4 linked regions of the Arabidopsis thaliana genome follow. The protein of the gene in region 1 interacts with the protein of each later gene in a pairwise test. Each region holds a gene or a part of one and is shown in the gene's direction. Other genes may lie near its edges. The genes, in order: AT4G16444, AT5G62900, AT3G59850 and YLMG2.

Region 1 (7,634 bases):
GAGAAACGGAGGTAATCGAGAGTGCTGAAATTGCCGACGACTTTAGTAAAAGCAGGATTCCGATCAACCACTGGGTATTGTGCCTTCTCCAAGGCAGTGATGTCAGTATTCATCTTCGATCGATAAAATCTACAAATCTCTGATTCTATCTTCTTTCTTCTTCTTCCGATCAAAATCAATTTCTAGGTTATATTCATTTCAACAGAAGCTGAGATCCTCTCTTTCGTCTAGAGGCTTTTCTCTTTGACCCATAAACTTTCTTGGTTGGGCTTTCTCATAACAGACCCGAATGAGCCCATTTAAGTCAATCAAGCTCCAAACGATCGAAAATAGCAGATCTAACAACATGCACGATATAGTATTGAATAGTACTCGAGTTTTATTCTCTTAAAAATCTATCTATGATTGAGTGTCGACATTTTAGTTCTATCTTTCTCTATCTCAATTATTACTGACACATATATAAGAGTACTGAATCAAATACGATGCAAGTAGGTTTTGAACTTTGATTGACGATTTTTTGGCACGACTTGTATGATCAATTATTTACTATCTTTAAGAAAAATCGTCAAAAACAATAAGAAGCAAAGCTGCAAAAGCAGAGTTTTCAACATGCGCAAGCGGAGCCCAACTGAAATCAAATTTCAAGTCTGTCTTCTTAACCACTCCGACATCTTTAGTTATTTACCATGCCTTCGTTGGTGAAGTTGAGGTAGAAGTAGTTACGTATATATAAAAAGCTAAACATTACATGGATACGTATAAGCAAAGACTTGAGGAATGATATAGTAACCAATTAACCATCAACAAAAGAATAACCAATAAATCAATGAGTAGATCGATCTTTATCATCGTGATATAAAATATATCATAATCATTAACTTCGAAATAATTAATATATATGATTGCCATTTTAACCATACATATATCACCACCACCTAGAAGACTCTTTAGAAGAGCATACCGACGAAAACAAACTCTATATACATACATATTTAATTAGAACTTCAAAAAGATGGAGGAACAATTATTTTAGTTTTAGAGATGCAGAGACGTGTCAACATCGTCGTATCGATCAATCCCACCCATCTTCTTGTCATCTTTATTTGGCCACTGATGACAAAAGCTTGGCTTTTCAATGGATTCAGAGGTGGAGTGTGAGCATAAGGAGAGGGATAGGAGCTGCTGTGACGAAGATGTTTGAGAGTTTATAGGTAGAAACTGAAAGAAACCGAAACTAGTGGGTTCGCTGTAATATTGCAAGATGTTGTCTTGGTGGTTAGGTTTAGGGTTTAGGAGCTCTCGTTCAGCTCTTAACTCTCTTGCTCTCTGAAGTTGTCTGAATCTTTCTTGAAGCAAGACGATTGAAGAATGGATCACCATTTGTTCCTTTCGGTCTCTTGCTATTGAACTCATGACGTAATGATATGAGTCTTAGAGAGAGTCTTGCTAGGGTTTGGGGCCATGTTACGTGTGTTGAGCCTATTTATATAAGGAGGAAAAAGGTGTATATTATTTCTTATTATTTAATCTGCATGAGAATACTTTAAAAACAATAAAAGTATATAGGGTTGTTGAGTAGTTCGATGAAATTCCGAAAGGAAGAGAATCAGGAGTAAAGTGGTAAGAGAACAAGAGGAAGAAGGCAAAAGTGACAATCTAAGGATTGTAAAAAGAGAATGTATAATGTGTGAGTGGAAATTTGCATATTTTTATTTTTATTTTTAAGAAGCAAAAGAAAAAAAGTTGGCCAAAGTAGAAAATGGTTGGGAGGAAAATGACAAGAAGAATGTTTGAAGGGAAGCACATGGATTGGTTTGTTTGGATGATTATTGAGATATATAAACCCTTTTTTCATGCCCCCCACTTACCTCCCTTTAAGGGCTCTTTTTATTTGAAATGGAAACTTTATTACATCCCGAGAATATAGGGTGTATATAAATATATATAAGGGATGGTCTTCTTAAACGTTTGATTTGATTGTATGCATAACAGAGTTGTAATTCAATGATAAATTTTCAATATGTTAAATACAAAAATCTTGCAAGGACATGCCTAACCATAATATATAAAAGAGTAATCTAATCAAAGATCATATTCGTATGTTGTTATATTCAAGAAAACTTGCATGAGGTTTTAAATATTCCTTGGAAAAAAAGTGAATATGAGAAAAGGGAGTGACAAAAGGGTTTAGGAGAGATTTTGGTGGCTTGGGAGATGGTGAATTGGAGCCACTTCTTTGTCTCTACGTCAAATCTTCTCAGTGGAATTTAAAGTTATATTATTGGCATTCAATTAAAAATGAAACACACATTAAAGAAGAGTGTCAAAAGTTGTTAATGGTTTCTATAAATTAGTTGATCCACTTTTAAGTTTTAACTTCTTATGATTTGGCAAGGAGGAAAAAGTATATAAAAAGTGGGCCTATCTATTGATAAAAAGACAAATGGAGTTCAATAGACTAGGGAATAATGATATCAACATATATGTATGAGATGTGTTTTGATTGATAAATAATTGTGAAAAAGACCACTCATTTTTACACAAGACATTCTCTCTCGATCTCCTCGTTTTCTCTCGATCAAAATGCTACTCTACGCTCCCTTCCCATAATGAAAACATCCATGCATGTACATTATCATATTTTTACTAATTTAGGGATCGAAAAGATTAATTTATAAAAAAGTAGAATACTATATACGTATCAATTAATATATGTGTTCAATGCAAAGCCGATGCAAACTTATATATTTCCTATCGTGATAATCTTATATAATAGATATTAGTTGTGTTTGATATATATAATAATTGCAGTACATATAATTCTTAACACCCATATAATGTAAAATTTTCTGATACAATTCTAAACCACATGTGTGCATTTTGAGTTTCACTTCATAGTCGGATTCTGCAAACTCCCCACATTAATTGGTCCACAAGGTACAAAACTTATCTCACATATATTCACCAATATATACAAATGTCAAATGCCTTTATAATGTATCACTCTTGATTGTTGATATTAGATAAGAATGTTGATATCATTACAAATGAAATGATATATTAGATTAAATTGGTAAATTTATTGTTACACCTCTAACAACGAAAAAAAGTGAGACAGTATAGCTACAAAACGGAGCGGGTTGAAAGAAAGAGGAAGTGGACAATGGGGATACAAAGTTTGAAAGGCACATCAAAAGTGGTGGGAGCAAAAGTTTGTCGTCAAGTAATTGGAATATAATGGCATGCATACACGAAAGCTGAAGATGCTACGACGTTTAGGATTTGGACTTACATTGTTTTTCTTCCTTTTTTCAGCTTCGGTATCTGCGATGTTATCGATAATGCTCTGATTTGGTGATAACCCCAATTAGATAGATGATTAACATAATTAAGTGGGATCGGATGAGACAAAACATATAGTGTCTTTAGATTAGTTGAGAAAGATTAGAGACAACGCGTGCCATTTCTGGTAAAACCATTACAACCACTCCACGTAAAAAGAATACATTATGTTTGTTAAATTTTCACATTTCTAATTTCTTACCCTCCATTTTGTAGTTTTACTACATCTCTACTATTTATATCTATTTTTATCCTATTCATTCTAAATTTGGATACTTTTACTGTTGACTGAAACTTGTAGCCTAGTTGTTGTTTCTTTTCACATGTACTCATGTATACCCAAGCTTAATGAAATTTTAAAGAAAATAAACAAGCGGTTTAGTTTTAATTTAATGGGCCGTTTCTTTATTTCAACGAAGCCCAATAGAGCCTGTTGAAAAAGGGTTTAGTTATTGTTGTTTACACATAAGGGCTTGAGTTTTATTTATTTCACGAAACGAGTAGAAACTTTTGTTTTATCAAAATCAGAACCCTCCTCTTTTACAGATTCAGGCCAATTCTAAATTCCCATCGTTCGTTCAATTTCAGACGTTAACCTCGGCTTGAAGGCTTCAAATTTCTGTGAATCCACGACGGAGATTGTAAGTTCCGATCATACTCACGACGATCTCATTCTATATGCACTAGAATCTTTTCCTCCTCCATTGATTAGATGATATGTTTATCCAGAACATGATGGATTCAATTAAGGCTTTTATTTTGTTGATCTGAATGGTACTGAGTTATGAATTGTTCGAGCAGATTGGTGAATTACGTTAGAATCAGTAATCAGCAAAAGGGTTAATGGAAGGAGAGAAGCTTATAGAAGATCGCGGCTTTTTGGCTGCTCCTCTGACCTTCGTCGTCGTCGTTGTCTTCCAATTGCTATCCAAGTGGCTTGACCAATTGAAGAAGGTAAAAAAGATAATACTTTTTGGCTTTTTTTCATATCCACATGAATCATCGTTTTGAATTATGGAATTTCTTCAGAAAGGGTCGAAGAACACGAGGGAATCAGAGCTGCGAACCGAAATTAAGCAGCTTTTGAGAGAGGCTAGTGCATTGTCTCAGTAAGCCATTTTGTTGTCACATTTTGTTTTGGTTCTAGTGATTTGAGTTAAGGAAGGTGCAGTTGTTGAAAAATATATATATGAGTGTTGTTGATTAGAGATTTATCTATTGTTTACTTGCAGGCCAGCCACATTTGCGCAAGCAGCGAAACTTAGGAGGTCAGCAGCTACTAAAGAGAAAGAACTTGCACAATGTGAGTATGCATACATTATTAGTTCTACATTGATTGCTTAGTGAGCGTAGAGTTCATGAAATTCAGAAATATGATTGATTGCTTAGTGAGTGTAGAGATCATGAAATTCAGAAATATGATTGATTGCTTTGTGAGTGTAGAGTTCATGAAATTCAGAAATATGATGCAACAGTTAGTTAGCTTTAAACATGAATACTATCTGGTAGCAGATATTCCTACTAAAGCACTGCATCATCATGGTGTAGTATTGGTGTGTGTGTGTATTTGTTAATTCTCATTTTGAAATTTTAGATCTGGAGCAGCATCACAAAGAAATCAAGCTTTCATACGATATGTATGGGAAGGGTCTGCTTGCTTCGAAGGTAGCTTAGTTTGTGTGCTCAAGCTTCTTCTTTTTTTCCGTCTAAAACTCCTTAATCGAGATGTGCTAAGAACTTTGTTTCTAGGTTGTGATATACCTAATCTTGGTATTGTGCTTCTGGAGGACTCCAATTGCCATTATCGCTAAGCAACTTGTTCAACCGTTTGGTGAGTAGTTTACTTTTACCAGGTTAAAGCTCGCTTATGGTATATAACACATAGGAAAAAAATGAATGTGGTGTGTTTCACAGGGACTTTGTTATCTTGGGGAACAGGAGGTCACATGACAGGCCATGTAATGGTAAGTTCCTTCTTCTCAATCCATTTATTTGGGCTTGTTCTTGATTGAGAGTGTTGGTTGGGTAAAAATGCAGGTCGGGATCATACCGTGGCTCATACTCTCAAACAGAGTGAGCAAATATGTGTGTAGGTTCGTGGAGTTCTAAATCGCATCCCTGAAAAGAGTGAAGATTGGATGGTTTTTGAGTTCAAAGTTGTAGCCTTTTAGGAGACACTTGTGGCAGAAATTGTGCTTCTCTTTTTGTTCCTAATCTTCCTTAACAATGTATATTTATATGACTCTTTTTCTCTGGTTGTTTGTTGGATTTTACCAATAACAAGTAGTTCGTTTTTGAGAGTTGAGCAGGTTGTTACCGTAGAAGCAGCCCCAATATTTACCCAATGTGTATATATACACCATAACAAACACATTGTCTCTATTCCTCTACGTGTTGTCAATTTTTATCTTGTAACACCGACTTTGTAAAATCAGATTCTAAAGACGCGTGTACTTATTCAACACGATGCCAATGCATGTGGTTCATTAAGATGTAGCATTATATCACCGAAAATGGAAGAGAGAAATAAAAATACTTACTATTATTAAAAGTGGGTAGCTTGGTGAAGGCACTAAAGTTTAATGGGAGAATCTTTTTAGCAATTAATTCGAGGGCATTATAATATCCACTTCCAACCACCACATTACTTAATTAAGGAAAACAATTTAAATCATAGTATCTTGTTTGGTTTGAAAGGAACGTGCACGTGTCACATCATCTACACTTGTCTTTCTAAATCAAAGAACTTGATTGGATTTGGTTAAGCCTATTAGTAAGAGTTAATAAGACAGAACCAAAGAAAAGGGTTTGGTTAGAGGGGCTAATTGGGAGATGGGAAGTGCAATAAATAAGAAGAAGGTTCATTAAATAGTTGTGTATGTGGGCATCCAAAGTCCCATCTTAATAATTTAATAATCTCCTCGGGATAGATAACAATCTTCTCTTCTTCTTCTTCTTCTTCTCTCCATTTTCCTAGAACATTAAAAGACAAATATGGAGCATTGTAATTTAATTAATCCTAAAGGTCATTGTGATATCTCACTTTCGTCTTTAAGGGAGGGGGGATGTTAGAAAAATGTTGTGTTTTGGGTTTGTGATCAGAACCCATGCACATTTCAATTCAATGCATCTCATAATAATATACGTAGTAACGTCTACAAGAACTTTTCTACCACTTGGCAGATTTAGGGACTATGTTTCTGTGTCTCTCTATCACCCCTAATTCAATAGCATATTAAAAGTTTACTCTAAAACAAGAAGTCACGACAAAATGAGATCATTGTGAAGATATAATTGGTTTACTATAAATTTCATGTAAGAAATAAGTATCCGTATTTGTAGGATATCTAAATTATGTGATCCGTTTTACACTTTTACTTAAGAGAAAGTTGAATTCCTAGAAAAGTTTCAAATATCCAATTTTCTCCTCTAAAAGACTAAAAACGAAAAAAACCATAAGTTTTTAAGAAACGAAAAAAAAAAAGTATTTTCATTATGAACTATTCAGTGAATTCATCTATTGTTTTTTCCTTCAAATAGTAAAAAGTGAAAAATGAAGACGGTGGTAATAATAGTAAAAATGATAACAATAACTAATAACACTTCACTTCATATGTTGGTCTTTTAGTAACTAGTTGAATCTAGAAACTAATTTGTCCAGCCTTAATTTACACAAAACTAGTAGCAAACTTATTCGTTAACACAGTTTCAATTTTGGTGATATTTTTCAATAAAAGCCTAAGGACCCAAGCGATGTGAAGTAAAAGCATGGAACTCTCTATTTAAAGCCTTAAGCCGAGTGTGGACACTATTTCTCTTTAGTCTCTCTACGGAACCTGTCTTCTTGTCTTGTCCAAAATCGGATTTTTAAGAGTACAAGTGAGTTTATTTTGGGGGCCGAAATCTGTCCTGGAGGATACAGAAGCAAGATGAAGTTAATAGATCGAAGAATGAGGTTAACGGAGCTGCTCTTACGGTGCTCCATCAGTGTCTTCGCTCTCCTCGCGCTTATTCTAGTTGTGACAGACACTGAGGTCAAGCTTATCTTCACTATCAAGAAGACGGCCAAGTACACGGACATGAAGGCGGTTGTGTAAGCTTATCATAAACCCATTTCGGATTTAGTACTTTGACTTGAGATAGATTGCAAAGTTTGTAACTTTTTTGTTGTTATTGTTGGGATTGATTGATGCAGGTTCTTGGTGGTGGCTAATGGGATAGCTGCGGTTTATTCTTTGTTGCAATCAGTTCGTTGCGTGGTGGGTACGATGAAAGGAAAGGTTTTGTTT
Region 2 (7,272 bases), on another chromosome or scaffold:
CTCAAAATATGTAGCTCCCAAAATACCATTTCCACTAAAAATTTCCAGTTTAAACAGAACAAAAGAACATGAACGAATAGAGTATCAGAAGATAAATGTGATCTCATTGGATTCGTTGTTAACATTAGTTTCTTTGTACTTAGGATAAGAGTTCCATGGCCTTTCCAGTGGGGTGCCCCATCGTTTGATGCTGGAGAAGCTTTTGCAATGATGATGGCTTCTTTTGTTGCTCTAGTTGAGGTCTGTGGTTATCTTCTTCACATTTTAATCTTTCAAAATATAATGATTATGCTCTGTTGTTCTGTTTATTCATTTTGGTTTCTTGTTTATTCTGTGTCTGGCTGATCTTTAAAGTCAACCGGTGCTTTTGTCGCGGTGTCAAGATACGCAAGTGCAACGATGTTGCCACCTTCTATTCTCAGCCGCGGTATTGGCTGGCAGGTAACTCAGCTATACTTGAAGTTATAATGTTGCTGAATCGATATTGAAAGAATTCTGAGGTGATTATGTTTTGTTTTGTGAATCAGGGAGTTGCGATTCTGATATCAGGATTGTTTGGTACTGGTGCTGGTTCCTCTGTCTCTGTGTAAGCATCTCTGAGATTTACATGTTCTGATTTGATTACTTTCTCTGGATATTTTGGTATGAAAGTTGATTTTTCTCTCTTTTGTGCAGAGAAAATGCCGGACTATTGGCCTTGACACGAGTTGGTAGTCGAAGGGTTGTCCAGATAGCTGCAGGCTTCATGATATTCTTCTCTATTCTCGGTTAGTTTTGTTCTATTCTGTTTTTAACAAATAAAAGGAATTACTTTTGTTTGAAATTTTATCTGTACTGATGAGATCCATCCTGTTAATGCAGGAAAATTTGGAGCTGTGTTTGCTTCAATTCCTGCGCCCATCATTGCTGCTTTATACTGTCTCTTCTTCGCATACGTGGGAGCTGGAGGTTTGAGTTTCCTTCAATTCTGCAACTTAAACAGCTTCAGGACCAAGTTCATCTTAGGTTTCTCTGTCTTCCTGGGCTTGTCCATCCCTCAATACTTCAATGAGTACACCGCAATCAAAGGATATGGTCCGGTCCACACTGGGGCTCGTTGGGTATGTAGAACCAAGTCACTGTTATTTTTGCTTCTCTTTCCATTGAAATAGGTTTATGGTAGAATGATCTATTAAGGTCCCTAAAACTCCATAGCAAAGATTCGAGTTTAGCATGGCCTGAACTAATGAAACAATCTTATTCTCTTACATATTTGACAGTTCAACGATATGGTAAATGTCCCGTTCTCCTCAGAGCCTTTTGTTGCTGGAAGCGTCGCCTTCTTCTTGGACAACACACTGCACAAGAAAGACTCTTCGATAAGGAAAGACAGAGGGAAGCATTGGTGGGACAAGTTTAGATCTTTCAAAGGTGACACAAGAAGTGAAGAATTCTACTCTCTACCTTTCAATCTCAACAAGTACTTCCCATCTGTCTAAAAGGGAAGAGAAGAGCAAAAAAGATAACTGGAAAACAAAGAAAATGGTGAAAACTCGAGTTTCGCCATTGTTGACTTGGCCTCTGTGTCGTGGTTCGTTTGTTCAGTTCCTTTCACAACTTTGGAAACTTTAAATATCTCATCACATTCTATAGTCTTATTTACAAGAATGATGAATCTTCTTAAAGAGCATTGTTGTTTACTCTCTCTCTAATGCTTTTGTCTTTGTAAATCCGAGGGAACAGAAACACTACTTTGTGATTTTGATTAGTTTCTAAACAAATCTTTAGCTTAATTTTTCTTTTTATATGTTTCTCACTCCAAAGTCTTGATTTAGAAGCTTAGGAAACCTGATTGGTTGAACTTTAACGAGAATTGACATATAACATTTAATTTCAATAGATAATTACAATTAATTAGTTGTTTTTTCTTATTAATTTGGTCATATGTGTAGAGAAAAAAAAGGGAAAAATGGTCATATAAAATAGAGCGACCTTTCACTCTTGCGTGAGGTTTTTGTTCTCTGATCAATAAAATAGTATAGAGAGACATTAATAAGGCAACTTTTGTATGTTATCATCTAAATTAATGGACACGCAAAAGTTAAGATTACTTTGTTTTGTAAGGCAGATCGATTTAATTCCGTAATTAAGTAAGTTTGTTGAATAATTAACGATTAATACGACACAGGCTTTCAGGAGATCGAGATAAAGTGTACAGTAAGCATGTGAATAAGGTTGATTGCACGAGGGGAATATTATTCTTACTTCATTTTTGGTTGTCATTTTCCTTATTTTAATTTCCACAAAAAGCTCATCATTGCTTAAGAAAAATATGATTTATAAAGTTGCTTTTTATTTAGTTGACAAAAAAAAAATTTGTTTGTTTATTATTCTGCAACTATTGATCTTTACGTATTGAATTGAAAATTTGAATGTTTAAATTATATAACTACAAATGTGTTTTTGATCATTTTTATATTATAAATTATAAACAGCTGCTACATTCTATAATTTGTTAGTTGTAGTATTTACTTAAAACAATACAACTATACTAGGAGAAAAATGAACACAGAACATAAAGTAGGAAATTGGATGAAAGTATTATCTAAATTGTGGTCCAATAGTTTGTGGATACTTTAACTTTAGATGTATGAAGACTATAGACTTTTCCTAGAGATTTATATATAGGTGGTGTATATATACACTGATTTACACATATTAAGTTATGTGTATATCTAAAAAAGATAGTGACTAATTTCTGAAGTAGAGATTTACTATGAATTTCTTCAGAGGTTGAACCTAAGCTAAATGATATAGCATGAACAAGAATTTAAATGTTAATAAATAGATTCGTAGTATCAAAGGCTTAAAGATTTAACTATTATTTTTGCTTGGAATCTACTTTTCGTGAAAGATTCCAGCCAAGCAAACACTTGGGGCTCTGTACGGACACTCTAAAACATAATAATCATTTAAGCAATTACGATCATTATTCTATCTCTTCTTTCTTGTTTGTTTGTTAAATGTTAAACCATTTATCGAATAATGGAGATACATATATAAATAAAACCTCTTCCACACCACTTTTTTTTTTTCCATAGAAACGAAAAATAGTTGATGATGACAAAATGAAATAATAACATGAAAACTTATACTTATAGTTATTGTATAGAAATAAAATGATGAGTATATATAATGAGTAGAGAAACTATTAAATCAGTATAGACCCCTCACCTACGCTTTACTCTTTCACTCCTCTCTCTCCTGCTTTGCTCCGCCGTGAGAGGAGAAACAAATGGGGAATTGTCAAGCGGCGGAGGCGGCAACGACGGTGATACAACAACCAGACGGTAAATCGGTTAGATTTTACTGTACAGTAAACGCGAGCGAAGTGATTAAGTCCCATCCCGGTCACCACGTGGCTCTCCTCCTCTCTTCCGCCGTACCTCACGGTGGCTCTCTCCGCGTCACTCGTATAAAGCTTCTTCGTCCTTCTGATAACCTCTTGCTCGGTCATGTTTATAGACTCATCTCCTCCGAAGGTATATAATATATTAATCACAATTCACACAGAACATGTTTCAGTTTTAAATTCAGGAAAGAACAGAACCCTAACTTATAGGGTTTTCTTCAATTTGTTTCTTCTGCTTCACGTTTGATTACAATCATCATATACGAAGTGTATAAAATTTACAAATCAGAACTAAAAGCTTTAATTTTCAGGATTCTTATCAATTTATTTGTTCTGCTTCACTTTTTGATGTTAAGTCAGTCTTTCTTTTTTGTGTTCTATTAATAGAGGTGATGAAAGGAATAAGAGCCAAGAAATCTGGAAAGATGAAGAAGATTCATGGAGAGTTTTCTGTTGCAGAAGAAGAGATTAACCCACTAACCCTAAGATCTGAATCTGCTTCTGACAAAGACACTCAGGTATTATTATCACATACTACAATTGCTCTGTATCAGATGTTTCAGTTTTAGTTCTCTGATTGAAACGATAGAGTGTTACAAAAGAATAATAGAGTTGGTTTTGATTTACAGAGAAGGATACATGAAAAGCAGAGAGGAATGATGAACACAGGAGGAGCTACCAATAAAGTTAGAGCTTGGCAGCCTTCTCTTCAAAGCATCTCAGAATCTACAAGCTAAAACACTTCAATCCATATTTTTCTATCTTTTTTTCTTACTTTTGACTCTTTTTTTTATCATTTCATTTCTCTTTGTATTGTTGTTTTTCCCAATCAAATTTGTAAAGGAAGAAGACCCATTTGATTGTGGTTGAAGAAGAAGAAACTTTTGTCATTTTTTAACTTTAATAATAATAACTGAAGAAAGAAAGATCCAAAGGATTATTTTCATTTTCTAGATTTCTAGATTTTCTTTTACGTTTTCAATAAATAGTTATGTCATAGATCAAGTTTTACAACTTTTTTTACGTACTTAAAAGATTGATAAAATTGTACTTGTTGTTGTTGACCATTGAAACATTTCCCTTTATTCACTAAAACTAGCTTTTGCAACCTTTTTATTCAACTGTATTGGTTTGTTGTATGTTTTTATTATTCAACTCTATTTAATTATTCATGTAGCTTAACATATCAATAATAACTAACATGCCATAAATTCCGAAGAAGAAAAATTGTTATAAAAGAACTATATGCACCTAACAAAAAACCAACAAAACCATAGTATTTTCTTTTTGGGTTACATAAAAATATCTTTGTATGAAGAAGAAGAAAGAATCATTACACAGCTTTCACTCACAAGATTACAAGTTTGCAAATTGCATATAAGGAAACTCCCAAAAAATATCATCAAAGATCTTTTCAGAACACAAAAAAAAAAAGGTAAAAGTATATCTCTTTTGCCATAGTTAGACTCAAAAATACGACATCGTTTACCTCACACGTGCACACTCACCGACTTACAGAAGAACCCACACGTACGTTGAGGGTACTTTAGTCATTTAGCATCGAACGAAATTGTCTGAGCGGAGAAGAGGAGTTTCCGTTATCCCTTTATATATTATCTCTCTCACCTTTCTTCTCTTTTTCTTTGATTTTTATTAAATCAACAAAAATAGAAAAAAAAACATAAAAATAAAAATAAAAAATCTTCACGTTTCTTCTCTCTCTCTCTCTCTCTCTCTCGAGCCACCAAATCTGAATTAGGGTTTTTGAGAATATTCATCTTTTGATTTCAAATTCTTCACCCACTGTGTAATTTCACTCGTCAGGATTCATCTGCGGAATCATGATTACAGATTCGATCACCAACGCTTCTGCTACTTCAGCTCCGAGAGATTCCGGAAAGAAGAAGAGGGTAACGTTATCCTCTTTGATAAATCTCATTCCTTTCTCTGAAATTGATTCAAAGTTTTGATTTTTAATGGTTTTGTTATTGCATTACGTTTTGCAGAACAATAAGTCGGCTAAGATGAAGCAGAACAAGCTTGGTCTCCGTCGTGAGCAATGGCTTTCTCAAGGTTAAAACTTCATCTTTCTCTCCTTTAATGTTTCAATTCTGCCTGATTCGTTTGGTTAGATTTGGTTGTCTATGTATTGATTTTGGGTTTTTGATTTTGATATTAGTTGCGGTGAGCAATAAGGAAGTTAAAGAGGAGAGGAGTGTTAATCGTAGTCAAAAGCCTCATCATGAGAGTTCAGATAAGGTGCGTAGAGAAGAGGATAACAATGGTGGGAATAATCTTCTTCATCATGAGAGTTTTATGGAGTCACCTTCAAATAGCTCTGTTGGTGGTACATATTCGAGCACTAACTTCAGTGGGAGAAGTAGCAGGAGTAGTAGTAGCAGCAGTGGCTTTTGCTCTGGTAATATAACAGAAGAGGAAAATGTAGACGATGATGATGATGGGTGTGTGGATGATTGGGAAGCTGTTGCTGATGCGTTAGCGGCTGAGGAAGAGATTGAGAAAAAGAGTCGTCCTCTTGAGTCTGTGAAAGAGCAAGTGAGTGTTGGACAATCAGCTTCTAATGTGTGTGATTCGTCGATTAGTGATGCATCAGATGTTGTGGGTGTTGAAGATCCAAAGCAGGAATGCTTGAGAGTGTCATCAAGGAAGCAGACTAGTAATAGAGCTTGGAGGCTAGATGATGACCTTCGCCCACAGGGGTTACCTAATTTGGCGAAGCAGCTTAGTTTTCCGGAGTTAGACAAGCGTTTTAGCTCTGTGGCGATTCCGTCTTCATGTCCCATATGCTACGAAGACTTGGACTTGACGGATTCGAATTTCCTCCCCTGTCCTTGTGGATTTCGGCTCTGTCTGTTCTGCCACAAGACCATTTGCGATGGAGATGGGCGTTGTCCAGGCTGCAGGAAACCCTATGAACGGAATATGGTCAAGGCTGAGACTAGTATTCAAGGTGGTGGTCTAACAATTCGGTTGGCTCGTTCGTCTAGCATGTTTTGCAAGTTTTAAAAGGAGAGGTGCGGTTTTCTCAACCATGTTGTCTTTTGGAACTCGAGAACTTAAGCTCTGTTTTCTATGTCATCTATGGTTCTAAGTCTGAAACACTGTGGTGATGATGTAGAATGTGATGTGTGAATACATAAAAGGTGGTACAGAAAATGATTCAAATACATTTAGATAGTTTCAATAATGAATGCTATGTTCTCTTTTCTAATTCCATATGTTTGGTCTGCATTTATTCCTTGTCAAACATTATTGAAGGTTTAAGAGTTATTTTGTTGCTATGGTGAATCCTCTTGACAAGTTACTCATGAACCAAAGCTTGTTTTTTAGAATCACCATTCACCAGAGATCAACTCTCATTACTTCAAATTCTTTTAGGAAACTTCTGATTGTTTATGATTAGCTAACAAAATCATTTATTCACATAAAGTGAGGCTTCTTAACAACTTCTATTAAGCCAGCTTACAAATCTCTTGTAAGGAAAAAAGCTATGACCCCTCTAATGAATATAATATATAATATAGCTTTTGCTCATCTCTATACCATTTACATTACTACTATATGAATAAACCCACTGAATTCAATCAGCGAAAAAGGCCATAGGGGTTGGAAAATTGTATAGGTCATTAAGCTGGCGAGAATCATCAGTGTAGGCTCAAGTGCATTGAGTCTTGAAGCTTCTGTATATGAAAAGGCTTTTTCTAAGATCCAGTCACGGAATTTGCATCGGAGAGCTCAGATCTTTGCGCGTTTGAGCTGCGAGTGAACAGGGTAGACATTCTCTGTTTCTAGCTCTCTCTTCTGAATACTCTTTGTGAAAGACAAATCTTCAACCTTCATTAGAGAATCTCTTAATCTTT
Region 3 (8,268 bases), on another chromosome or scaffold:
ATCTCCGGAAGATTGTTACCCTCTTCTACCTGGATTGAGTGATTCAGTGTTTCCCACTTCAAAAAACTCTTCTTTGTCTTCTTAGTGTTTTGTTCATCTTCCTCTTCGGAGAAAGACAAGTTCCATTGTAATTAGGAATCGTCGTTTACACATGCACAACCTATTCTTTGGTCTTTCATTTTTTTATTTGCTTTATAGGGGAATCTCTCGATCATTTTTAATACGGTTTGTGGCTAATAAGTTTCGTTACATTGTCTGGCTTCTCTATCACTGTTAACTCGTCTAGTATTAAAAAAAAAAAATCTAAATTACTCGTATTAAGACTAATTTTGACAATAAAATTGTAAACCAGTCTGTAGTAGATGTGGTCTGTGCGCAACTGTGAGAAACGAATACTTGAGATGTGTTAGTTGGACGGTGGAGATTAATCATCTTATGGGCCGCGCCTGTTTGGTTTATTTCTTTGGCCGTAAGAAACGCATTCTAATTGAAGCTAAACGAAGATATTCCTAGGTCTTTTAATACAAACAATAATAACGAAACATATAGACTAGGGTATACTTTAAGTTTTTAACTACCAAATAACAGTTGCCTAAATTTTGGTCAATACTTTTGTTGATTATACATATCAAATCCAATTTGGTTTTAGAAAAAGCAATTGTATCCTATCATTTGCTCATTTGTTTTCATATCGTAATGTAAATTTTATAGTAAAGTTTCTGATTAAGTATTTGACTAAAAAAACTATCCTAAATATTAGTTTCTTTTTAGGGTAATTTGCAGGCCACACCCTTTGACCATGTTTTATTTTCAGGGATTGGCTAAGTCAAATGTGGTTTTCACGTTTTGTCTTTTCAGCTGAAATTTGACCATTTTACCCTTGCTGCTACAGTTGAGAAACTATTGAATGTACGGTTTAGTTAGGTACACTGTTCCGGTTTAGTTGGAGATATTTTTGTTTCACTTTGAGAAGTGCGGCTGTACAGCTAGAAGGGAGATTTTTTCCTTTAAAAACTAAATGACATCAACATTTAATGGCTCAAAAAGTTTAAACGTGACTCTTGTCACAATTAATGCAAAATCATCATTACATGTTATAATATTATAAAATTATTGATAATAATTGTTGAGTTAAAGATGAACCCATAAACAAACATTAATTGCGAACGTACATTGATGTTGAAGATGTGTTGATCTTGTTTATTTACGAAATTTGGGGCCAAGACAAGCATTATCGTGTAAGTAATGAAGTTTTAAAGATTTGTTTTGTTATAATACACTATGATCTTCATTGTGTTCGAAATCAATTTTGTTTTTTATAAAAAAATCCAGAATTTTTTTATTTCTAATTTTGTTGGTTGAAAATGGTAAATGTATAGATATTTATGTTTATAAGTGTGTATAACGAAATTCTATTTGTTTTTGTCGATATAATCATATTTTCAGTTGCATTTATTGGGTTTCTCCTGAATTTATGATACAGTTGGGTAATGGATAATCTCGTATTTACTATGGTCGGTGAGTGGAGATGCAAAGAAGAAAAATGGAAATTTGAACCAGAGGAAGACATGTTTGGTCGTTGTGTACGTGTTAAGGAAAACATGACGTACACGGAATTTGTATGTACACTAAGCGAGACTTTCAGTTTGAAGTCCATAGAGATCAATCCCATGATTAGTTACTGGATACCGGGAGTGATGTTAGTTATGTAGATACTAAACGCCCTCCTGTCTACATTGACAGTCAAGTGAGGGTGGGATACGATTTTTTTTATTCGTGGTGGGTATCCTTCTCTCAACTTGTTTGTCTCTTTCATTACAACCGTCAATACACTCGGAAATAATGTCTCTAGGACTCATGGTGACGATGCTGAAAGTGACTGTGTGTGTGATAGTGTTTTAATGTTGATGAAAATAATGAGACCGTAGATTAGCAAGACGACATTGAAGACGATAAAACAGATGAGGATGAAGATGAGAGGACAACGAAGATGGTGATGGGTATGATGATTATCAGGGTGACGATGGATCTATGGGGGAAGTACCATCGATCCTACTATTGATGGTAGTGAAAGTAGTGGCGAAGATTATGATTACAACAAGTGGAACGATGAAATTGTAGAAGAATATGGAATAGGGAATGTTGAGGAGAACGTCATTCTCACACAGCTGACTGTTCAACATCCAAGGGAATTCAGTCTTCTGTTGGCAGAGTGTACGTAGACAAGTCAGTGTGTACCTGGCGGAGATAACATTTCTCACCCGGGTGACCGTACACCAGTTGTGACTCCAAGAAGTATTTGTCAACATGGTTTGTACCAATGTACGTACAATATAGATTGGAGAGTGTTTTTAAGAACAGAAAAGTCATACAACAAACAATGTCTTATCTCGCAATCAAACAATTTTTTTGCTATAAGCAACCTAGGTCATATCCTACAAGATTGGTGATGATATGCGTTGATGATACTTGTCTATGACATTTGACTGCTCAAGTCGTCAAGAATTCAGAATGTTTCAAAATCACATCGTATGAACGTCTTAGAATATATCTCGCCCACTGTCAATATTGGTTTAATATTGTATCAATAAAATTTTCTTAGTAATTTAATTTACAAACAAAGATGTACGTATATTATTACACATGTACATACATTAATTTATCAACAAAAATATACGTACATTATTACACATATACGTACATAACTTTCAATATGAGGAACAAATATTATTTCACCATCTATTTCTATTTAATTATTATGTATGTATGGAGATTATTGAGATATAAGAATACGTAATAAAATAGCTTTAGTTATTAGAAATTGTACCATATACATTCGACTAAATAATTTTGTGTACGTACACTGTAAATTGAATATACGTACACAGAAGAAATTTAATGAAGGGTATAATTATAATTTTCCAGTCATTTTTAACCTGTGTATCCTTTTCTGCAAACCTAATTTTGCGGTCATCTTTAGCAGTTTTCTCAAAATCTCATTTTTTTATACGTTTTAATTACTATTTATATATAAATCTTGTAAATATAGAGTATCTTTAGTTTAAAAAGCTAAATTGTTTGAATCTGTGATTTTTTTTTGCATTTTGTTCATCTCTGAAAACAAGAAATTTCTTCCTCAATTTTAGAGTTCAATGGAGAGATGTCGAAATATGAAGAAGTAGATAATGAAGTTTGAACTTCTCTCTACTTCTCTTTCAAATCTCTCCATCTCTTTCTCTTCCTCTTTTTCTTCTTCTTCGCTTTCTTCATTTCAGTTTTTTTTTCTTTTTTTTCAAAACTGAACCATAGAAACTAAACCAAAACCAACTGGTGTGAGGTTTGGTTGATCCCATTAAAAATATTTTGGTCCAAAAACCATTCAAAAGACAAACGGTGAAAACCACATCTCACTTTACCAAATCATGAGAACAATTTTTTTTTCAGCCACTTCTGTGAAAATTTCTTTTTTTTCTATCTTCTACAATGTAGGTCTTTCTAGTCTCTCCCTCTATCCTTAAGCCACCGATCATTTTTAGCCTACTAAAATCAACTTAAGATCGAGGTCTCTATTCTCTACCTAACTTTAGGCCACCGATTGTTTTAGCCAACTAAATTTACCCTAAGAGTTATTTTCTGAACGCTAAAGACGATGGAACATTACAAGGATATCCTTCTTCTTATGGTTTAGTTTCAGCATACACTACTTTCATTCGATATTTATATTACATTTCGTGATCCTATTAACACGGCATGCGGCAATAAATGCGTTGTGTTTAACAAACATCACATTTTTCTGAATTGTTGGCCATGCATGTGATTGTGAATATGATTATCATCCTATCAAAATATTTACTTACGATATTATTGGTCAATTTCTTCTCCGTTTTATCCTCCACTTGTCACGTTTCCCACTCATGTTTGGTTCCGTATGACCCGTACATTATTTCTCCTTTAATTGCTTACTTTATTAAATATATATGCATGGATCCGTAAATTCCTTGCCTTGCTTTTAATTATTAGGATCGTGTAACGTTTTTATCGATAATTAAAGCTAAATCGGTTACTACCAATTGTAGTCGTCACATGCATTGATCTTATGCTCCCTACCATCAACATGCACTGCCCCTGACCATTCCACTTGCTTTTTCAGTTATCATATATTTGAATACAACATAGATGATTTTATGTCGAAACACATTCGAGTTCTAATCCTAAGAAATTTCAATGCGTAAATTTTCATGAGTTGATTGTATCCGAATGCTTACGAGTTAGCGTTGATTTTTGTTTTGATTCAGAAAATATGAATGTTTGGTTTTGCTTTTTTTTTGAGGATTTAAAAAAAAAAAAAACAGACAAAACTATTTTGTATACACTTACATGAATTAGATAATATTACTATATGAAATATTTATAGAGATTAATTCATGTAATATGATACAAACAATTTAAACGATCATTTAGTCACAGTAAATCTATAAATAAACAATCTGATTTTTCAGCATATAGAGTTCATGATAAACGATATAAACCCACAATAGACACAAACTTCTAAAACTCAAATCTACCACTTGCAATATTTTGAAATTTGACAAAACACTCGAATAAACTATTTAAGAAAATATACTACTGTACATATCAAATTTTATTCTTCAGATCTAAGGTTTCGTTGATATGATAATATAGAAAATAACAAGAGAAAAATGTTAATCAACAAAAAACAATCCATTTCACAAATACGCAAATACTATATATACCTTACACTAAACCGTTTCAAATCCCACACACCCATCACCACTTTTCAACTTCTCCCTCTATCTCTCACTTTCAAAGCAATGCATTCTTCACTTCTCATAGTTCTCCTCTTTCTCCTCTCGGTCTCATCTTCCTCAGCTCAAACCTACAATATCCTCTCTTACGGAGCCAAACCCGACGGCAAAACCGACTCGACCAAGGCCTTTACCGTCCTGTGGGCCAAAGCATGTGCATCGGTCAAACCGGTCACCATTTTGGTACCTAAGGGACGGTTTTTGTTAAGAAGCATTATTTTTGACGGTTCCAAGTGTAAACGCAAGTCCGTCACGTTCCGTATCCAAGGTACACTTGTGGCTCCATCGGATTATCGAGTCATCGGTAAAGAAAACTATTGGATTTTGTTCCAGCATCTCGACGGCATCTCTGTCTACGGCGGAGTTCTTGACGCCCAGGGAGCTTCTCTATGGTCTTGCAAAAAGTCCGGCAAGAATTGCCCGAGTGGCGCCACGGTAAGAACTTACCATTTTAACGTCTTGATGTTATTTGTGAATTATGCATTTATAATTTTAAATTATGCCAACCTACAAAATATTGTTGCCATAGAAATTCTAATCAATAAGTAGGGAAAATGGTAAAAAAATTGTTACATGTATAAAAGTCCATCAATTTTGTCTTATTGTTAAACTTATATTGTTGAAATCATTTAAAAGCATTTTCTTAGTAGGTATATTTTGAAAATGAATTATCGCCGTTTTATCGATGCGCTTCCGCAAATTCCGCTAGCACGATCCAAATGATGCATTTTCCGCAATTTTTTCTCCATTTTTCTGCTAACATAGAGTTACATTCATATAAATATTATGTGTCGTTGACTTCTCACGTTAATTAACGTAGAATCCTCATTCACATGTACCAATCATAGAGTCATTGATTTAGTGATAATCTTTATTATATACTTCCTATTGTTTTCGGATAAATGAAATTGACACGTGAGCAACAAATTGCAAACAGAGCATAGGGTTTCAGAGCTCACGCAACGTGGTGATCTCCGGGCTGACGTCACTTAACAGTCAGATGTTTCACGTCGCGATTAACGGCTGCAGTAACGTAAAGCTCGACGGAGTCAAAGTTTCTGCAGACGGAAACAGTCCAAACACTGATGGGATCCACGTGCAGTCATCATCTACCGTCTCCATCCTCAACTCCAAAATCTCCACCGGCGATGATTGTGTCTCCATCGGTCCCGGCACTAACGGCCTCTGGATCGAGAATGTCGCTTGTGGCCCTGGCCATGGGATCAGGTATTGAATTATTAATTTAATTACTTGTAACTTCATTTTTATCTTTCCATTATTTTTAGTTTTTATAAGGTTTTTTTTCTTTCACTTTTGGTTTATATGAATTATAGTAAACAAGTTAAAGCCGACACTAGTTTATATAGGGTTGACACGGTTTATCCGTTTATGAATTAGTAATCAACACAACTACAAAGAGAGAACAATGTTTTGTTAATTTGTTCCAATTCATTCATTTTCAGTTTCATGTATTTCTAATAGTTAGAAAAATATATTTGTCAATGTCACACAGTGGCACTAGATTAGTTCAGTTTATCAATTTATTTGTTGTGTTCTTTTTTTTTGGTTATAAAATGTCAATTATTTTAATTTTATTATACTGTAACAGTAACTGGTTTTTGGTTCACTTTCTAGTGATCATTTTCTTTTATTTATCCACATCAATCATTTTTATATTTTGGTACAGCATTGGAAGCTTGGGAAAAGAAAGTGTGGAGGTAGGTGTACAAAACATAACAGTGAAAACGGCGACGTTTACAGGAACAGAGAATGGGGTGAGAATAAAGTCATGGGCCAGGCCCAGTAATGGATTTGCTAAGAATATCCGTTTCCAGCATTGTGTTATGAACAACGTACAAAACCCAATCGTCATTGACCAAAACTACTGCCCTGGCAACGAAAATTGCCCTAATCAGGTCCACATTTTTCTCAAAACATATTAAACGTCACATAAAAAGCTATTCTTAATTTAGATATTAATTGGTTTATATATGATTGATATGAATGATAGGTTTCTGGGATAAAAATCAGCGATGTAATGTTCTTCGATATACACGGGACATCGGCGACGGAAGTTGGAGTGAAATTAGACTGTAGCTCTAAGAAGCCGTGCACGGGAATTCGAATTCAAGATGTGAAGTTGACGTACCGGAATAAACCAGCAACAACAGATTGTAGTCACGCTGGAGGTAGTGAGGCAGGATTTCAACGGCCCAACAGTTGTCTATGACCAGAAAAGAAAAATATTTGTCTTCTTTTTGTTAGTAGTGTAATTGTAAGTAACGTCGTATTTTCATATATATTACGGCTTTATTCCTGGAGGGTTGGAATACGTGAAATTATGGTCTAGTATTTTCGCAAAATCAATTTCTAATGATGCTATTTGTTATGCATTAGTCAATGCGGACTAACCAATGATTATGAACGTAGGTGGATATTTAAAATGAATGGGAATTGTGTTTAATAAAACGAATCAAATCGATAAATTGTACATCATAATGCCTATAGCCTAAGCCTAATATAGTATTATCAGCTATATAAATGAATTACGTGTAAACAATGTTGTCTAAGTAAATCGAAATGTTACAAATCCAATATATAAAAGCAAAATTTAAGGATATAATTGGACGGAGACGGTGAGAGATATTTCATCTAGCTAATACTAAGAACATTTACATTGGTTATTAGTCGTGCAATCTAAGAACATGAGTATATAAAAAATAAAGTAACATATGTTCAATCGAATTTATTTCAACTAATTTATTATTTTTGAAAAAAATAAGTGACATGTGTAAGATGAATTTCTTATTAAGTACCACAATGAATCGTGGCAGCACATTGTTGAATATTAGAGAGTTTAGGGTCTAAACAAAAGCAAAAGTGAGTCTTGGTGGCCCTCTATCGAAAACTCCGTTAATCTGTAATGCCCGATTTGAGTTGGTCTTGGCTTGGAAATGATACATGTGACGCCATATAATGCTGCGTATGGCAACTCGTCGTAGGTACTCCAGGGTTTTGGGACGCACATCACGGTCAGTCATCCACATGAAAGACTTCTAAAGACGCATCTTGGAGTTTCAGATTCATCGAAGCGCAAGATCCAAGTTGAATATTTCATGTAGCTTAGAGAATAATTCTGTGTAACATGAAACTCATGAATTGCAATACAGGTCGCATTGCTCTTACTGTTGCAGGAGCCTCTTTTATTGCAGGGAGCTATCTTTCTTTAACAATTGGCAGTCTCTCCCTCAGCTGTTAAACCAGTAACCTTAACATACCTCGTCAAACTCTACTAGACTAATAATAAATTATGTATCAATGATAAATCATGGGAAAACTATTAGAATATAATTTCTTATTTCCAAAATTCCTACAAAATGCGTGGATATTAGGTCACACTCAAGAGAATTTTAGACAAATTTGGTGAGGTTCTCTGATACCT
Region 4 (7,548 bases), on another chromosome or scaffold:
TATGTGTGAACCGACATAATACCTGAAGCAAGAAAACATGGGTCTTTCACTTGATCCAGAACAGGTAATTGACATATGATACTTCTACATTTCTACTTTATACTATAACTAAATAAACATAGCCTTGCTAAATAAATATATGACTCTTAAAAGAAATTTCATGTTATTTCCGTTAGAAATATGAAAAGAGGACCATACCAGAAGGCAAACGTCATTGCAGATAAAGACATTATAGTATAGACGAAGGGTCCAGCTATTGCATCTGCCAGCCTCTGTACAGGAGCTGCATTACCTTGTGCATCCTCAACCTTAAAATTCAGAAAAGAAAGGGTGTGATGAATTAAAGACGCACTACAGAGGAACTGAGGGTTCTGACATGATTTCATTCATACTTTCCCGTATGAAATTAGGTTCAGCTACAAACTTGTAAATGAGTTCTATTTGTAGGATTGTGACTCATTCATGATATTTCTATTTGTTGCTGTCTTTTCTTTTTCTGTTTTCGAGGAGGAAAGTCGGCTACAAATTACATAGATTACTGGCCACACACAATGTAACTTTCATTACATTTCATTGGCTCTAGATTCATAGACACTAACCATTCTGACAATTTTAGATATCGTTGAGTTGGAACCAGTAGAAGAAGCTTTGATCCGTAGAGGGCCATCCTGAAATAGGTAAAGTGAGATTCAGTTATTCAAAAAGATTCATGATCAGTGTATGTAAATCTAACTTAGTAACTGAGCACAGTTAGTTACATAAGTAGCCTTTTAAAAAAATAAACTTTTGTTTAGGTTGCGTATACTTACCCAGTTAATTGTTCCCGCTGAAACTGAGCAGCCTTCTTCTTTAAACACCGGAAGTGACTCTCCTGTCAGCATAGATTCATCTACAACACTTCTTCCAGCTAGGACACTCCCCTATGAAGAAAGTGATTAATTTAACATAATATCACTACTAGAATCAGAACTACTCATTAACCAGTCACAAGGATTATAACCAAGCTATCTTGAGCAAGAAAAAATAATATCCATTATCACGTGCAGAGAAGAATGTGCAATTAAACTGAATCTCAAAAAGAACTGAAAGATCCACATGTTTTTTTCTCAGCACTGATAAATTGAAATAGAACTCCTAAAATTGCAGAATGATGGTTACCAACCATTTAGATAGATTTTCATAACTCTTTTCGGAAACCCACACTATTATCTTTTGCTATGATCAGACAATTCAGCATGGATAAGCAACTAGGGAAATCGTAAGATGTCAGAAAGACAGAAACACTTACATCGACAGGAAATGTCTCACCAGGCAAAACCAATAGCGAGTCTCCAACTCGGATATCATCAACTGACACATTGATGCAAATTGAATCAGAGGAAAGTACAGAATCCACTGGGGTGTTATTGTCTGATGAAGTAATCACAAGTCTTGATTGAGTGGAGATGAGTGACTGCAAAAATACGTTTCAAGTCAAAAAAAAGGGAGGAAAAAGCCTACAAGTTAATCTTGGGAGGAGAATCAAGAAATGTCTAACATACCAATAGTTCATTCATATCGGTAGATGCTTGAAGCTTTGCTCTTTCTTCCAAAGAACGACCAAGGAGCACAAAGCCAAGCAGCATGACCTGCATACTAAATGACAAGAGCTATCAATCAGAAATTTACTATTGAAACTGTATTTTGCATGTAGTGGAAGTAATAATAAAAAGCTTTCATCCTCTTGTGGATCTGCTAGAGAAACTCACCGGTTCATCGAAGAAGGAAGCATCCCACTCCAGTTCTGGATTAACTAGTGAGATCTGCAAAATTCAGAATGCAGAAACTGCAGGTTTTCAGAATAGGATACTCACCAGTCAAATATAAATTACAGGGTACAAAAACTCACCAAACTGATGGAAAATGCAGCCATGGATCCCAATCCAACTAACGAGTTCATATTAGGTGATCTTTTCCCGAAAGCTTTTATGCCATCAAACAGCAATTCTACAATATACATCTATCTGTTTCAGTCATTTGTGTTTCCGAACAGCCTCAAATATCACTACCACCACTTTGTTATGAAAGTCGCAAAGAATAGTAGGAACCATCACTATCACTTAAGAAGTTTGAAAATTCAGAGTTTCTCTCTTATGACAACGACGACTCAATTAAGCTAACCATTATCCATAAGAAGAACTGATTCAACAAAGCTCACCTATATAATCAGAGTAGAACACTAGCACTTATCTAAGTCTAAACAATAGCCTAAGAACGACTACTTTGTCATCTCTCTCTTATGATACTAATTACTAAACTTATTATGCATTAGCTGGTAAGAATCATAGATTCGAACTAAAAGTTTAAACAAAAGCAAACCTCTTCCTGGTCCCAACAAAGCTCCAACGGCCAAACCACCTTTCACGTAAGAGTTGTGTAGCAAATCCCAAATCCCTCCTAGTAACATCAGGTGCAAGAGAAAGTCATAAACTACATCTCTTATCCAACAAATGACATCTAGCATCACAATTTTTTTTGCATTATAATCAATGTACCATGAGCAATGTGAATTCCCAAGGAATGAAGAATATGCGAAGTGTGAGACCCGCAACACAGAGCCACCAATGTCCACGCAAACGCCACACGGTTCCTGCTCTTAACAAGCAAGTCCTCTTTCTTACTTACCATCTCCTTCCACTTCTTCACATTCTCCGCCACTCCCATACCCGAGACTCTCCTCTTAGCCTCAAAACCACTCTCTGTCAATCTCTTAGCTAAACTCTCTGCCGTATCCGCCGTCACCTCAACCTCCGGTTTAAACTTCACAGCCGCGGTTTCAGTCAGCATGTTAACCACAGCAGACGCGACTCGATCATCAGACATCAAAACCGATTTAACTCGGGCGACGCAGCCACCACACATCATCCCACTCACATCGAGGAGAATAGGCGTGTCGCTCGTAATGGATTTCACAGATTCGATTGAAGATTCAGTAGATTCAAATGATTGAGTACTTATCTCGACCGAGTTTGATACTAAAAAAAAAGGTCGCGAACAGTGCCGCCGGATACGAGAACGGCGCAGTCTTGGAAAGCATCGGTTCACGAGGAACTTACTTGGACGAATATGAAGACTCGATGGCGGAGGAAGAGGAAATCGGAGAAGATTGCTCGCCATTTTCTCCGGCGAGACAGACGACGATAGTCACGCGATGTATACAAGTAAGAAACTAGTGGTGGACTGGTGTATGGTTCGTTAAAAAGAGTATCGCTAAACGTTGACACGTCGGATTTGGAATATATCCGAACATTAGCCATTTTTGTGGAATTTTTAAAAAGCCAGGCTGTCACCAGAAAAATCAGAGAGAGACATAAAACGCAAAGTTTTAATAGGTAAGACCTTCTAACTCAGCTAGAGGATTACAGCCCCCGGGACACAGCGATGCCACGTGTCATCTTCCTGAAATATTGTTTTTTGTTTGGAGGTAACTTTATCTTCTCAAGCTTTCTTCTTCTACAACACATCTAGAGCTTTGCAACAATGGAGGCGAGTGCGAATGAACCAGCTATGAAAAGCTTGAAATCCAATCCTTCAGGACCGATACCGAACTTTTTCGTATCGCTCTCTTCGGCATTTACGCAAACACCTCTTGTGCGTTCGAACAAACCCAATTTGCTTCTTCTACCACCAGTTGCAGACTCCGTCAAATTGATTCAAGACTTTCATCAGTCTCTGATTTCTGCTACTGAGAAATTTAAAGGATTCCTCCATTCGCTCGCCTCTAAGAACCCTCTCTTTCAGGAAGCGGTTCGCCTATCTTCCGAATTTCACATTTTGTGCGACGAGGTAACTTCTCTTAGCCTGCTTATGCTAAAGAATGTTATGGATTAAGTTAAGAAGATGATTGTGTGTTTCTCATGAACTTGCCTTGGCTCTGATTGTTACTGTAATGGGTGAATCTTTGTGGTTTCTATTTATACAAAATGGGTCATTCTTTAACAGCCAGTAGATTGTTGTCTAGATCATTTAGCATTTATTGGAAAACCTTCTCACATTGATAACCCTGAGTTATATATGTCCTCAAGTTGGGATCTTTTTTGGTTCTTTTCTTGTAAAGATGAAACTTGGCTTCTGGATAAGTCCGGTTATGATTTTGTGTGCCTTTGCTTCTGGTTTTGGGTTCTTTATGTCTTAAAGATGAAGATCATTTTGTTGCATTGCAGATTCGTTTGAGAAACACTACAAGGGTGAGGTTTGCGATGTCTAATCACGGATTTGCAGCGGTTCTGCCTGGAGATTCAGTTGCAGGATTGGTGGTTGCTAATGGTTTGATCAATTTCCTCAACATATATAACACCATCCTTGTCGTCCGTCTAGTACTCACCTGGTTCCCGAGTGCTCCTCCTGCCATTGTTAACCCCCTCAGGTAAAACGTTGCCTTCAAATGCCACAATGATTTTATATCTTATCCAGGTTTAAAAGTTTTCGATCAATCCATGAAAACAAAATCTAGATCATAGAAGTCCTATTCGTGATTGTTGAAGGTAGTCTTTTTACTTGATTTAGAGGAAATTTATTTTGGATAAACTCTGTCTACTACTTTTTTGTCCAACTCTTAAATGGATTAAAGATTGGTTAAACCCTGATTGATCTGCCCAGGAACCCTAGTTGATTCCTATTTATGTGTATATGCGTTACCATTGTTTCAGCACTTTATGTGATCCATACTTGAACATTTTCCGGGGATTCATACCGCCTCTTGGAGGATTAGATTTGTCTCCCATTTTGGCGTTCCTTGTTCTCAACGCCTTCACCAGCTCGGCTATGGCACTTCCTTGCGAACTCCCGTCAGCTGATGGAGCCGTTTCTCCAGCTTCTAGTGAGACAAAGTGGGTGAGAAGGAGAAGGTTGAGCAGCCACAAAGACCACAGACCGAGCTCAGCTTCTATGACCTGAACCTGTCTAAAATATCTACTCTTTTCTGCGCTTCAAATGTAAAATCTACCTTTCGAGTAATTTTATTACTCTGTATCTTTGGATTTCTGAGTTTTGTATAAATTTTCTTTAGAAAATGAATAAAAGAGTTGTGTTCCTGACATACAGAAATATTGTAAAAATTTTGCAAGAGATGAGCTTTTCTTCTTCATTTGTGGCATCAAAACAACTTTCGCTCAGATTCTAACCAGAGGCTTTGCATATCAAGACGAAAACAAGAAGGATGAGGATGACAAGCAATCCACCAAACGAACCACATAGCCTGTGAATCCAGTAAGGATCAAACCTGGTCAAGCTCGGGTCACTGTACAAGGACAAGGCTATGGCTAAAATCAACAAGAGGAGAAGCAGAGAGAAGGAAAACATAAAGCTGAAGAGTTCTTCTTCCTCTTCTAGATCTTCCTCTGATAATCTGTCGATGTAGAGTGGTGAGAGCACGGCTAGTACCGACAAGCTTATGGCCAAAAGCTTCCTGGAAGTAGTAAACCTCCCCATCATCGGGCTGGATGATCCCGTTTCCATCAGAAAAATGCCAGTACAAAATATATAAAAACAACTGGTAACTTTCTTTACAATCCCCGGTTGGTGTTCATCTGAACTAAAATGGCTTGTTTCTTGGTAAGAATCTGAACACAAGTTGCAGGATTGTTTCAAAAAGCCGTTTAGATGGTATGGTTTAGCTATTTACTCAAAAAGAGAAGAGAGAAAGAAGATTCTTTCGTTTCTGGTGAACAGTTGTGACCACACACTGCTAAAAATATTCCAAGGGATCATATGCTTAAAACTTTTCTTCTCTTTCTATTAGTTCAATCTTTTTACAAAAAGCTGATTCTAAAAGACATTGTAACATTGTTCATATATCACTATCTTTTTTTCTTTACTATGAACCTGTACAACAGCTATAATTTGGTCTAACAATGAAGAAAGGTCATCAATTCAAAGCTATATATACAAACGCCAGTTGTCTACTCATCAGAAGAACTTGGCACCTACACTTGGGTAAAAGTTATCAAGGTGAGCATAGAGTGAAGTCAGTTTCAATCCGGTAATATGAACGTCTGATCTTGAAAGTTCTTCAAGATATGTATCCTCCACCTACAACGATAATACTGTCATTTAAGTACTTTTGACACAGATCACCCCAAGGTTCAATTCAACATAAACAAAAAAAGGCACCAGTGTAACCTGAATTACAGGTTTCTCTATAATATCATACCTGCGTCCATCCAAATAGCTTGAGTGATTGAAGTGACGAGCAACAACGCAAAATCCGTCTTAGGTCATCTTCTTTGAGTCTCCGACACCACGAGAGGTCCAAGAATTGTAACATCTTACAAACTTTGGCAAGCGAAAAAGCAGTCTCTGGACCAACCTGTTAAAAACAAAACTCCTCAAACACTTTCGAAAACCAACTTGAACATGAACAAGACTTTAGGTACTAAAAACACTCACATCTCGGACTTTGTTTAGGCAGAGTTCTCTAAGAGAACCTCCCGAGACTTCAAGAAACGCGGCAATACATTCGTCACTGTCAAAGTAATCCCATACATTGATGATATTCAGAACACTCAACGGATGTTATGTACAAAAAGAACAAATTGGGAGACTTGTACGAACCTAAATCTGTTACTTGTAAGTTTGAGTGATTTCAAATATCTGCAACCCTCAGTAATAAACTCTAATGACTTATCAGTCAATTTATCCAAGTCTGTGATGTCAAGAGCTTCTAGCTTCTTACAATATCTCCCAATATGCCACATGCATTCATCAGTCACCTCACTAGTTACCATTATAGAGAAAGCAAAAAAAACATTAGTTTTCAGCATAAAACTTGGTAATGAATTTGGTATATCAAGGCCTAAAAAGAGTAACTTACTTGCAATTAGCGAGAGATAGATCAGTGAGAATCGAACTACGGAACATAAAGAAACTTCTGACAACACCATCATTAACACTAACGAGTCCCGCAACCGAAAGATAGTTCAATTTCTCGAACTTATACAGGCTGCTACTAAACCCTTTATGCTTTTTAATCCCTTGACATCCACCAATACTAAGCCCTCTAAGAGTTGAACCAAACTTATCAGCAAGAATCCTCAATGCACGATAAGTGAGAAGAGAGCATTCAGTGAGGTTAATATACTGAAGCAGAGGAGATGATTTCGATATCAACAACAATGCATTGTCTGTTAAACAGAACGCTCCTTGAAGAGATAACGTAGTCAATGACGGGAATCCGTTAGGCGCGCGTTTAAAGAACTGGTTTATCGTATAATCCGTCATCGATCTTCCGCAAAGATCAAGAATCAACACCTGCAAAAGATTGAAACTTTCACAAACAAAGATTGCTACCAAAAGTACTTCTTCTATAACAAATGGATTCTAATATACCTTCAAGCTAACTCTATCACAGTCACAGAAGATCTTTACCAAGTCATCCTCCACTAATTGGACACAGTTCTTAGCGCAAATCTCACTCGGAGAATCTTCAATCAAAAGCTCCATAAGACGTGTATCGAATTCACCTAAACCACTAACAAGATACGAGAGCTTCTTCCTCAAGTGATCAGGAAC

What was found.
Region 2: the proteins of AT4G16444 (region 1) and AT5G62900 interact in a protein complementation assay, tested with the Arabidopsis thaliana proteins (one large-scale study listed by BioGRID).
Region 3: the proteins of AT4G16444 (region 1) and AT3G59850 interact in a protein complementation assay, tested with the Arabidopsis thaliana proteins (one large-scale study listed by BioGRID).
Region 4: the proteins of AT4G16444 (region 1) and YLMG2 interact in a protein complementation assay, tested with the Arabidopsis thaliana proteins (one large-scale study listed by BioGRID).

Annotation. Positions count from the first base shown.
Region 1 is NC_003075.7:9,272,611-9,280,244, reverse strand, and holds AT4G16444 (tail-anchored protein insertion receptor WRB-like protein), read left to right. Parts: upstream 1-3,797; 5' UTR 3,798-3,986; intron 3,987-4,146; 5' UTR 4,147-4,188; coding exon 4,189-4,299; intron 4,300-4,374; coding exon 4,375-4,454; intron 4,455-4,577; coding exon 4,578-4,648; intron 4,649-4,939; coding exon 4,940-5,010; intron 5,011-5,094; coding exon 5,095-5,176; intron 5,177-5,259; coding exon 5,260-5,309; intron 5,310-5,382; coding exon 5,383-5,454; 3' UTR 5,455-5,807; downstream 5,808-7,634. Other genes in the region: AT4G16450 (NADH-ubiquinone oxidoreductase), read right to left, coding at 1-113; AT4G16447 (uncharacterized protein), read right to left, coding at 1,039-1,416; AT4G16442 (Uncharacterized protein family (UPF0497)), read left to right, coding at 7,275-7,438, 7,541-7,634.
Region 2 is NC_003076.8:25,245,598-25,252,869, forward strand, and holds AT5G62900 (basic-leucine zipper transcription factor K), read left to right. Parts: upstream 1-3,092; 5' UTR 3,093-3,274; coding exon 3,275-3,521; intron 3,522-3,778; coding exon 3,779-3,909; intron 3,910-4,020; coding exon 4,021-4,128; 3' UTR 4,129-4,435; downstream 4,436-7,272. Other genes in the region: AT5G62890 (Xanthine/uracil permease family protein), read left to right, coding at 144-240, 355-441, 528-586, 676-767, 862-1,100, 1,260-1,478; AT5G62910 (RING/U-box superfamily protein), read left to right, coding at 5,233-5,301, 5,398-5,464, 5,571-6,418; ARR6 (response regulator 6), read right to left, coding at 7,148-7,272.
Region 3 is NC_003074.8:22,108,131-22,116,398, reverse strand, and holds AT3G59850 (Pectin lyase-like superfamily protein), read left to right. Parts: upstream 1-4,666; 5' UTR 4,667-4,700; coding exon 4,701-5,261; intron 5,262-5,763; coding exon 5,764-6,053; intron 6,054-6,513; coding exon 6,514-6,742; intron 6,743-6,837; coding exon 6,838-7,056; 3' UTR 7,057-7,296; downstream 7,297-8,268. Other genes in the region: AT3G59870 (uncharacterized protein), read left to right, coding at 1-38.
Region 4 is NC_003076.8:7,238,737-7,246,284, reverse strand, and holds YLMG2 (YGGT family protein), read left to right. Parts: upstream 1-3,404; 5' UTR 3,405-3,519; coding exon 3,520-3,825; intron 3,826-4,202; coding exon 4,203-4,405; coding exon of another isoform or gene 4,406-4,409; intron 4,410-4,444; exon of another isoform or gene 4,445-4,688; coding exon 4,689-4,935; 3' UTR 4,936-5,084; downstream 5,085-7,548. Other genes in the region: PAA2 (uncharacterized protein), read right to left, coding at 1-22, 199-308, 600-668, 810-920, 1,289-1,453, 1,542-1,628, 1,749-1,802, 1,889-1,986 and 2 more; AT5G21910 (uncharacterized protein), read right to left, coding at 5,158-5,496; AT5G21900 (RNI-like superfamily protein), read right to left, coding at 5,947-6,069, 6,191-6,346, 6,427-6,502, 6,592-6,753, 6,851-7,287, 7,366-7,548. UniProt on the Arabidopsis thaliana protein: Not required for the biogenesis and accumulation of native cytochrome b6 in the thylakoid membrane. Not functionally involved in the pathway for covalent binding of the c-type heme to cytochrome b6.